3 linked regions of the Xenopus tropicalis genome follow. The protein of the gene in region 1 interacts with the protein of each later gene in a biochemical or structural test. Links are inferred from orthologs where the notes say so. Each region holds a gene or a part of one and is shown on either strand. Other genes may lie near its edges.

Evidence for each region.
Region 2: the proteins of rnf8 (region 1) and ube2e2 form a complex in vitro, tested with the Homo sapiens proteins (2 studies listed by BioGRID). The link is inferred for Xenopus tropicalis from reciprocal best matches to the Homo sapiens genes RNF8 and UBE2E2.
Region 3: the proteins of rnf8 (region 1) and ube2v2 form a complex in vitro, tested with the Homo sapiens proteins (2 studies listed by BioGRID). The link is inferred for Xenopus tropicalis from reciprocal best matches to the Homo sapiens genes RNF8 and UBE2V2.

What each region holds. Positions count from the first base shown.
Region 1 is NC_030681.2:2,808,544-2,811,718, reverse strand, and holds the end of rnf8 (E3 ubiquitin-protein ligase RNF8), read right to left. Parts: coding exon 3,140-3,175; coding exon of another isoform or gene 3,133-3,139; intron 1,362-3,132; coding exon of another isoform or gene 1,359-1,361; coding exon 1,123-1,358; 3' UTR 778-1,122; intron 691-777; 3' UTR 609-690; downstream 1-608. UniProt on the Homo sapiens protein: E3 ubiquitin-protein ligase that plays a key role in DNA damage signaling via 2 distinct roles: by mediating the 'Lys-63'-linked ubiquitination of histones H2A and H2AX and promoting the recruitment of DNA repair proteins at double-strand breaks (DSBs) sites, and by catalyzing 'Lys-48'-linked ubiquitination to remove target proteins from DNA damage sites.
Region 2 is NC_030682.2:46,453,473-46,457,125, forward strand, and holds part of ube2e2 (ubiquitin-conjugating enzyme E2 E2), read left to right. Parts: intron 1-1,969; coding exon 1,970-2,117; intron 2,118-3,653.
Region 3 is NC_030682.2:113,260,012-113,264,363, reverse strand, and holds the start of ube2v2 (ubiquitin-conjugating enzyme E2 variant 2), read right to left. Parts: upstream 2,881-4,352; 5' UTR 2,873-2,880; coding exon 2,857-2,872; intron 2,789-2,856; exon of another isoform or gene 2,607-2,788; intron 1,160-2,606; coding exon 1,011-1,159; intron 1-1,010. UniProt on the Homo sapiens protein: Has no ubiquitin ligase activity on its own. The UBE2V2/UBE2N heterodimer catalyzes the synthesis of non-canonical poly-ubiquitin chains that are linked through 'Lys-63'. This type of poly-ubiquitination does not lead to protein degradation by the proteasome.

The sequences.
Region 1 (3,175 bases):
GAGGCGGGACAATAAGCAAAGCCGCCTCCCTGCACTGGGGGGGGGGGGGGACCCTCAGCCTGTGAATAGAAACCCCCCCCAGCCAGTTTGGATTCCCGGCAGCTCTGAGCCGACAGGAGAAATCTCAGCAAATAAACCCCATTCTGTAATGAACTTCACCTTGGAACAGAGCAGGGCGGGGCCTCAGCGCTACACCGGGGGGGGGGGGGGGGGCGGGGCAATTAAACAGAACCACAGGCCGCCACTTCCTTAAAACCCACAGAAGAACTTAAAGGGGAAGTAATAAAAATGCTCCACGTGCCCCAATAGCCCCTTTACCTTCAAGTTACACAACATCCTATTCTTCTCCCCCCCCCCCCCCCCCCCCCCTCCAGTCTCATTCACACCTCTGCCTGGTTGCTAGGGAAAACAAACCTAGCAACCAGTCAGCTGCTGGGGGGGGAAAAAAAACTAAATAACTCAACAAAGCAAAACTAAGGAAGCCCAACTGCATCCTGCAGCCTAACTGTTCATATAAAGGTGAATTACCCCTTTAGACTTTTTTTTTACCCCAAACCCGGCCCTAACTGCCCTTCAGGCTGCCCCATAAGAAAAGACAAGAGGCTGAATAAAGTTATTTCCAAAAATCTTTTCAGTAACAAAATAGAACCTTATCTGCCCCCCCCTATACACCAACAGGCGTTATGGTACCTGCACCCCCCCCCCCCCCCATACACCAACAGGCGTTATGGTACCTGCACCCCCCCCCCCCCCATACACCAACAGGCGTTATGGTACCTGCCCCCCTGCCAGGATACTGCCCTTTTTGACCCCCCTACAGAGGGAGAGGTGACAATAGGGGGCGCACAGCATCCAAAGTGCCTTTAATAACTGCTCAGCCCCCGACCCAATAGAACCAACAGAACCACCCCAAACACAAAGAAAAACCCAGTCCCCGGTGCGGCAGAATCCTCGTTGCTGCAGTGTCACATGATGCAAAGGAAATAAATACACGAAGGAAAGTAGATCTGTACATGTAGAGTGTATGTGTCACGCGTGTAACGGTCCGGTACCGGCCCAGCTCCAGGCCACGCCTGTGATTGGCTGCTCCACGGCCGGGGGGGGGGAGCGCATTCATGATATTCAAAAGTGGCCTTCCTCATCGTCATCATCGTCAGACTCAAAGTCCGAGGAGTCCAGATCGTCGGTTCCGCAGTCGAACAGAGACTCCTGGTAGAACTCCTCCTCCTCCTCTTCCTCTTCCTCATCGTTCACCAACCAAAAGAGCTCGTCGCTGTCGGAGCTGCTGCTGGAGAAGTGGAACGAACTGCTGTCACTGCCCACGAGAATTGGGCTTGGTTCCTCCACTTGGACCATCTCTGCAGGGAGACAGAACAGAACCGTCACATCCTGTGGCCCGACCCCCAGGGAGCCCCCGACGTGCAGCCCTCGCTCACTGAGAGAGCATGCTGGGAGTTGTAGTTCAACAAGACCAGGTTACCCATAACGCTGCCCCACTGCGCCCCCTAGTTTTGCTATAGAAGTTCTCGAAAAACATGTGATTCTCTGGGATTCTCATTGGGGGATTTCTTGCATTTTAATGGGGGAAAGTTTTATTGGGCAATATTGCTTTAAGAATACAGCCCTGATGTTGCTGGACTACAGCTCCCAGCATGCCTCACCCTTCATTATATGTTACATTATTCTGGGATTTGTAGTCCGGCAACAGCTGAGTAACGTTTGGTTGGGCCGCGCTGTGCCGCAGGGTTTAGTTCCCCATATATATATATATATATATCCCCCCCAAGGCCCAATCCCATACAGGACTGATTCTTGGCCCATATAATCACCCCACGTGGCTGCACCCCAACATATTTGAGTGTAATGAAGAGCAGAACCAATGAGACCCGGCAGTACCACTCTCTATAGCCGCACAATAAGAATTAGCCCGGGGCAGGAGATTTACTGCAGGCTTTGGGGTGAACATAGCGACCTCTGCTGGCGGCTCTTACAATTACAGGCCTTTCCCCTTGTTCTGGGTTCTACCAATTAGCGACACCCAGAGCTCACCCACCTGCCCAGCACCCGAGCTGCCTCCCTTACACCCCTACACTCACCCTTGGAATAAAACAGTTATTATGCACCTTACTCAGCACTGAACGGGGTCCAGCTATTTTTAGAGTGCAAGCTCTTTAGGACAGGGACTGCTCTACCTGTACAGGTTATTGGTTGTTTTTTTAATGGAATCTGTAGGCTCAATGCAATTATCCATTCATTTATAAATACACGTTATTAATATAGTGAATGAAGTACCCCCTACTGTAAATGATAAGGATATTAGCAGTCACTGAGGGGTTCTGTGCCCCCCATATAAAGGCACAAGGCTGCAGGCTGAGTTATACAGGGAACTCTGAGTATCACTCATGTATTATAAGGGATAATGTACCCCCTACTGTAAATGATAAGGATATTAGCAGTCACTGAGGGGTTCTGTGCCCCCCATATAAAGGCACAAGGCTGCAGGCTGAGTTATACAGGGAACTCTGAGTATCACTCATGTATTATAAGGGATAATGTACCCCCTACTGTAAATGATAAGGATATTAGCAGTCACTGAGGGGTTCTGTGCCCCCCATATAAAGGCACAAGGCTGCAGGCTGAGTTATACAGGGAACTCTGAGTATCACTCATGTATTATAAGGGATAATGTACCCCCTACTGTAAATGATAAGGATATTAGCAGTCACTGAGGGGTTCTGTGCCCCCCATATAAAGGCACAAGGCTGCAGGCTGAGTTATACAGGGAACTCTGAGTATCACTCATGTATTATAAGGGATAATGTACCCCCTACTGTAAATGATAAGGATATTAGCAGTCACTGAGGGGTTCTGTGCCCATATAAAGGCACAAGGCTGCAGGCTGAGTGCTTTTATACAGGTAACTGAACCCAGAGGTGACTGCTAATATCCTTATATTTTACAACAGGGGGTACTGTATTTATTAGTGAGTCATGTGACAGAAATGACATCACTAAGCTCCGATTATAACTGATGACATCACTAAGCAGTGTTTATAAGGATATAATTTCCAGTTTGGTCCCATAGGGAGATAATAAGGATAATAATGAGACGCTTCCCTACGGGGTCACCCACCTCTCACCTTTGCGCTCCAATATCAGGGCGGCCCGCCGGTTCT
Region 2 (3,653 bases), on another chromosome or scaffold:
TGTGTGTTTGAAAAGAACACACATACCCTTTCTACTGGTAGAGTATGGGGCCAATTCTTTTGTGTTTTGACAGACAACAGATTTTCTGCAGGGAAAAATGCAACTGAGAAAATCACCTAGTGTGCCTTATTTATGTTGGTGTCTGAGGTGCAGGAAGAATGTAACTTGCCTAAGGCTACAAAGGCCAAGTAGAATTGGAGTAACGATTAATTATGCAGAAAAATACTTTTTTTCAGTTGCTTTCTATTTTTTTTTTTACTGTTTTCTAAAATTAAAGTTTAAAGTTCCTTTCTAAGGTGTTTTAGTGTTGCAGCTCAGTAATCTAGCTGCCTCGGAACTGTTAGAATTTGCTACGTTAGTTGATACATTTCCCAGTAGCAATTGTGGAATATTAGCAATTATTGTATCAATAATCCCTGAGCATCATTAAGGTTATAATTGATAGAATGGTTTGTTAATAGATACAATAGTTTATCAGGCCCGAACATTTGAAATATTTAATAATTAGGACAGTTTTACAGTTGATGCTCGCCACCCAGAGCTGCTCCAGGGAGACAGTGTCATAGCAAATGCTCAATAGCTGCTGTTGGCTAGTGAAGTTGCAAGAGTTGAGAAGAATCTGTTTGCTTGCCCTTAACTTTATGTGGGATCAGACCATGTTAGTAAACATACAAATGAGGGCTGTATCCAGCTGACACCATGATAACTTAATTTTAATTAAGTTTTCTTTTAATTTTAGTCATCCGTATTTTCCTTTTTTGCACTAATGGGAAAAAGCCTATATTAGCATTTGAGATAAGGAGCAGCTTTTTTAAGATAAGGCTTCCCCTTCTTTCCTCAAGTAGTTTGTTTAATGTGTTTCTCCTCTGTTGACAGCTTGAAGTTGGAAAGTAAAAGTGGTTTCATTTTCTTGTTTAGTGATAGAGAAATCGGTAAACCATAGACATTTCTTAATTAAATGAATAGGCAAGAATTCTGTTAAGCAGAAGGCCTGTTTCTTTAGCTCATTAATACAGTACTTTTAAAGGACATTTCAACCCAAAAAGTTTTGCCTAATAAAAGAAAACATAATTCCAAGCAGCTTTCCGATATGAATTTATTTTAAAAAATTTCAGTACTTTAAAAGTTATTTGTAAGTGTAATTGCTATTGAAAGCAGCGCTTGAAGAATTTTGTGCCGGAGAATTATACCCCATTGAAGAGAATGGTGTTCGACTGCTAAAAGAGGTTGGACACATTCCAATGAATTGGCTCAAGCTTTTCTAAAAATATTAGTTCATTTAAAACGTCCTGACAGTAAAGTTTTAATACATAGAGAAACTGTACCATCCTCAGAAATCCTCATCAGGACTCTTGCCCAGGGAGCCCCAAATATTAACCTATTGGTCATGTGGGCAGAGGGCCTTGCCAGCAAGTAGAATGTAGTACCAATAATGAAAAAAAGGCCCATGTATGTATGGCCATGCCCCATTGTGCCATCGCAACATGCAAATCACACATTTACATCTCAGGGGGCCACCCCCTTGTAGCGGCCCTTTAGGGAAATATGGAACTGCTGGTTTTAAGGTTCCCCACTTGGCTATTGGAGAAAAAAAATTGTTGCAGGTGTTTAAAGTAAAGTGTTAGGGAACTTTTGTGCCAGCACAGCTCATGACGTGGGCCTGTATGTATCAGGCTGTCTTGCTGTTCATATGCCTTTAAGAAGCAGTTTTAACGCGTTTGAAATAGCTATTGTGCTGCAGGCACTTAAAGAAAGGAACTATTGGATCTTACTTTTTTTTTTTTCTTTTTAAAGTCTATGACCTTTTGTGTTTATTAATAACCATACAATTTCCTTTTTTATAAAGTGCATTGAATTCTAGTTCCACTTGAGTTAAGCTGTTTGTGTTTCATTTGTGTTGATCCAGTTGCAGCATTGCAGCTTTTTTTTATATTATCCTGGAATCATCAAGGCATTTTATTTTCCTTAGGTGACATTTCGGACAAGAATTTACCACTGTAACATAAACAGTCAGGGGGTGATCTGTCTCGACATCCTGAAAGATAACTGGAGCCCAGCACTCACAATTTCCAAAGTCCTCCTGTCTATCTGCTCTCTGCTCACAGACTGCAACCCTGGTAAGGACCTCTCTTGTGAAAAATTGCATTAATATGCCTTGAGAGCTATAGAACAATATTGTTTCCTATTATTATCTGGGATATTTATTCTCTGCTCATGGCCTGTGTGTAAAGTAAGATGCAATTAACAGCAATTACCTTGGGCAGCCTATAAGCACCTACCAATCTAGTGCTGTCAGATTATTATTGCCTTGTCAGAATATTATTGCCTTGTGTTTTTTGTGACCTTGCGGACTTACCAGGTGGTGGGGTTACTTCAGGAGTTATGCTTTTAATATCTCCTTGCATGAAGCATTTATTAGAATACAATTTATAAAAGTATTTTATTTCTCTAGCTGGAAGCAGTTCATCATCTATGCTTAAAGCTGTTGTTAACCATCTTCAACCATAATTCAAGCATATTTAGTTAATATTAAGAGAACACTGCAATATTTGGTTTCCTGTGCAGTATTCCGATTAGAAAAACAAGTTTTCTGGGGCTGGCAGTTTGCACAACTAATTTGATTTCTTATCATAATTATTTAAATTGATGCAACCGATATATAAATGAGGGTATCCTTTTGGGTGAAAATGTTTAAAGAGAAGTTGTACCTGCCACTAAATGTTCCTTAGAATACCCTGTCTATGTTCTGATTAAAATAGGTTTGTAATAAAGGCTGGAAAGTGTTCCCAGGTAGCAACCTCTTAAAGCCTATAAGCCTGTATCTTCTACTGTTCTCTTGTTCAAAAGCAAACCTCAGGGTTACTTGACCTGTGTAAAATTTGGCAAATTGAATTACATTACCCTAAATTACTGCATTATGGCTTTATCATTTATTAAGTCCCAAAGTGCCTGCACTTAACTTCTTTAATATGGGGTACCCCCATATTCTCCTTTATAATCCAGATCTCCTTTATCACCTGGCTGATACTACTACATTGTCAAAACCAGGACTGCAGAGAATATAAACAGCCAGAAAGATAATAAAAAGTACACAAAGGGAGGGCAAGCATTATAATAAGTATAATATGCAGAGAGATGAAGTGCCACATGGTACTGGCACATGGAATTGTATAATGCTTTCAGGAAGTCATTGGATGATGCTTATTCACACTTATGGAGACAGAATGCAGAAAAATGGATATGGCAACCATAACAAAAATGGGAGGTATAGTCCCAGTTATACATCATTTTATGTAAAATTCATTTCTAGGTATTGGATTAGCTATATATTAGTTTAGGTAAGTGCAAAAACACAACATAAATATAATATACTAAAGGGAAGAATATTAAAAGCTACTATTCATCCACAACACTGCTTTTTATTAGGTTTCTGAGAATGGTTAATAACAATTCTGCTCATTCTAATACCTGTATTCAGTCCGTTATCCTTAATTTACTTAATCTTATTAGTCATTATAGAGCAGAGCCTGAGTAATCATTTAATACCCACTCTAGTTAGGGCAACATGTCAGAATGAATCCTAATAAGCTAATTAACAAATAATATTTTATCTAGTATTTTTTATAATGCAATTAGAGAAAGTATATATTTAA
Region 3 (4,352 bases), on another chromosome or scaffold:
AAAACATGCAAATTCCGTTCCATTGGAGACGCCAGAATGTCATATCACTTAATAAGTTAACATGCAGAATACAAATTAAAGTACAGGTATGTAAATTTGGGACAGTATTTGACTATTCAAAAATGAGACTGCATCCTTCTGAATACTGAATGGAAACAGGAGCATGTTGTAGTACTCCAACCAGTACCAAGCAAATATTTAAACAATAATAACATGCTGTGTCACACATGAAACTGTAATGCAGCATAGAAACACCTGTAAAATATATCAGTGTTTTATGCACATACTTGATCCAGATGATATATCTAAATTATCCATGATTTGTTCTACTCGCCAACAAACCTTTGCATTAATTCACGTTTCCTAAAAACCACCAACACTACGTCAATCACATTGTCATGCACATTGGCACACATAACATGATGTAATAACGACAAACTGCACTGTATGTTTATATTAGTAATAACTTGCACAAAGACTTCTGTAATGAATGCAAGGACCGGAACAAAGGGTTTTAAATAGTGAGATTGCTGAAATACTGTAAAAATGGCATACGATTTAGGAAGGAAATCTTGCAAAAATTCAGCAACCATCCTAAAAAACACTGCATATTTATGACACATCATTGACTATCATTTGTTCTGGCGTATCAGCTCCTAAAAGTGAAATCACACATGCTAGTGTCTCTTGCCAAATATCAGCATGTAATGTGTGTTTTTTACAACAAGTATATTACTGTGTTTTCTATAGTAATGCTTATTTCATTTTTTTATGCCATGTAGGGACTTTCTAAAACCATGGCATAAAAATGCGGTGTAAAAATGGCACGTGACATAGGTGACCAGCACTATGGAACCGATGCTTAGAGGTATTTGTCAATACTATCAAGCTAGTATATATTTTCATATACAGGTTCCAACACAAACATGTTATGTTCAAAGAATTGTTTTATCCAGAAAAAGTTGCAAACAAGATTGCCTGCTACAAGACACGCAGTTTACAGAACGCACCCTAGGGGGTCCAATTATCATTCCTGTCCACCTAGTGAGTGTCATATCTTCATCATCTTCAAGGCCCCAGCTGACAGTGCCATCTCCCACACCTTTCTGCCCTTCTTCAAGTTCTTCCAGTAATCGGAAGTTACGAGGCATCTTAACACCTGTTAGGACGCAATAATATGTATTGAAAAGTGGTAAAGCATAAAGACACTGCTTCTCAAAATATTTTAAAATTTTACATATTTGTATTTCAAATACAGATTTCACATTTAAATTTAGGAACTTCCAACCAATAAATGCAAATATATTGATAGGTTCAACAACAACTGTTCTGCTTGTAATCCACAGGTCCACCCCCCAGCTTGGCATGAGCCAGTTCCTGAGATGCCCATGGATGATCACCAGACAGTCACTCAAGAGGCCTACCCAACTCAGACCAACCTCCTGCAGAGGCCCTGAATACATAGGTGTCTACTGCACCACTTCTCTCTTGACCAAGTATCTACAGAAGAAACACAACTTCCATAGCAAATTATGAGAATAAGTGGTACAATAATCTTATGATTAATTTCTAAACTTAAATCTATCAAAGTAGGGGAAGTGACAGCTACTCCTTGAAAACAAGATGATTAGAGTACTATATAACAAAACAGAAAGTGAAAGGTGCAACAGAGCTGGAAAATGTATGACTATCAGGCCAGGAAATGTGTCAGCCAACTGTAGCAGAGTGAGTGAGACAGACAGGTTTCAGGGCCAAATTTAATGGAAAAGGAAGGCTTGGGATTTTTTCATTAGCAAACAACATGCAGAGCATAGAAAAAATTAAAACACTATAGGCAGAAGGTAGATCAGGTTTGTAAGATGGCTGGATAGTGGATTTCTGATGGGCATGTGATACTAGGCTGGGAAGAACACTTCAGTAACAGAGAATCAAGGTGTGTAAGATGCTTCAGGGCACACTACACCCAGAAAATGCAAATACATATATATATATTCAGCAGCAGCAGAACACAACTTATTAGTTCCAGAAAGCTGAACAAAAGTGGGATAGTAGAGAGATGCAGAACAAAATATATGTAGGCTGCATGGCAACAGGAGGACTGGATCCTGTAGAGCAAAGATGTTTAGGGCCATTGCAAAATATGTGCAGGAAGGGGTGCAGCAAACGAAGGAAGGGCAACTGGATGGTGCAGGGGACAGAACAAAGCTGGACATGGCAGTGTTTTATGGTTGGACAGCACAAGCCATGCCACATTCAGAGTTGGTTACTAAGCAGATCATGCTATCTGTAAGGGGCAGCCATGCAGGCCATACCACTTGCTGACATATGGGGGGGGGGGGAATATGCAAAAGGCCACATCATCAGCAGGGTGGGCACTGCATGTGGCCCAATATGGGGGCAGGGTGGGCAGTTAGATGGAGCAGCTAGATGGAGCAGCTAGATAGACTGCAGAAGCACACAGGAAGGCAGAAAGGACACATTGCTAGAGACATGTGAAATCATTTCGGCTCTGCTATAGATCAAAAAAGTAGGGAAAGTAAAAGTGACACATTGAATGGAACAAATTGTAAGGGATAAGTAGATCCTACAGAGAAGGGGTCAGATACCCAGAAGGGATGCTGGGAGCAACAGTCCATGTAAAGGGTTAAGACCCCTGACTGCCAAATTCCTATTCACTCAACCGGGGGGAAACTGAAGGATGGGCAGGCAATGAGAACCCCCGAAAAGCAAGAGTTTTCTTTTGTCATCTTATCCCTGAAACCATACGGCGAGAGTGCGCCTCACACACAACTTCAATCCCTGCCCCTCCAAACCCCAACATCGGCTTTTATGCTCCCCGGCCCAGCATACACAGACCTGCGCACACCGCCATCTTCTCCGCCGCCCAGGACCGGAGCCCACGCACCATGAGACGTCAGCGCGTAGAGAGGCAGAACGGGCGCCAGCCGCAAACCCACACGTCACTTCCGCTGCTAATCTTGCCTCCCATTCATTCGGATCAAGTGGGAAACGCTGATTGGCTGCCGGGTTCGCGCTTTTACACATTTAATAAGTAGAAGGGAAAGGGAGCATGTGGAGGGGAATTAGCTCAAATGGTAGAGCGCTCGCTTAGCATGCGAGAGGTAGCGGGATCGATGCCCGCATTCTCCAAACTATTGTTTATGTTTTTACACGATTTGTAACATTGGCATCAAGCAACATTTTTCCTGTGGCAGCACTATGCCTTTAGCAATTGAAGGTGTTTGGAAACTGGTTTGGCTATACTGCTAAATATTGTTAAATATTCACATTAACTTTTAGTTCCTTATAAAATATCCTATTCCTAGCAACTGTTTCAGTTGGTCTTCATTATTTATTTTTCATAGGTTTTTAATTATTTGCATTCCTATTTTTTCAGTTTTCAAATGGGGGCCACTGACCTCGGAAGCCAGACATATTTTAGTCTCTGGGGCCACAATCTTATTGTTTTTGTTTTTATTACTTATCTTGCTGTTTAGACCCTCTCCTGTTTGTCTTTTAGTCTCTCATTCAAGCCACTGGCTGGTTCCTGGGGTAAATATCACTGCTGCTGAAATCCCAAACTGGACACCACATGGAAATTGTTTCAGAACATCAATGTTTACATTATACTAAAAGTTCATTTAAAGGCCAACTAGCCCTTTATGTTCTGCACCCATGCCCCAACCCTGGGTAAGAGATTCTGTTTTCCACACATATATCAAAAATGAAGCCTCAGTGAACCTCTATTTTTTGTGGGTTTGTTGCACTCACTGTTACTCCTATCCTGAAAAAGTTGTATTAAAAGAAGTTCTGTTGAGCTTGTTTACAAGCAGTGACTTGGAAGTAAAAGTATGATTAAAGAGATACTGACACCATCTAACACTTGCCAGCCTCTGATAACCCACAGCAGACCACTTTAACAAATATAAACATAAATACTGACTCCTCCATGCAAGAATCGACAACACAATTTGTTTTTTTTTTTGGGTGGGAGGGTCAGATGCGGACCATACCCCCTCACCAGCACAGAACAGAAAGACCAGCCTGCACTGCTGGTACACTTTTTAACCCCTCAGGTGTCATGCCTCCCATGCTCCACCAATGGCTGGCCCGCATCGCTACCTTCAGGCCCGGATTTGTGGAAAGGCCACAAAGGCCCGGGTCTAGGGCAGCAGAAGTTTAGGGGCGGCAACAAAATTTTTACATTTGGCTTCCATACGGAGCAGTCGGGACCTCTTTAAAGGTTTGCGCATGCCCACTCGCACCTGCGCACGGGGGTGTGTCGCGCGTTCGCGCATGCGCACAGGGGGCGGGCGGGGCGACCAACGGGGGTGGCCTCAGGGCGCCCTGAA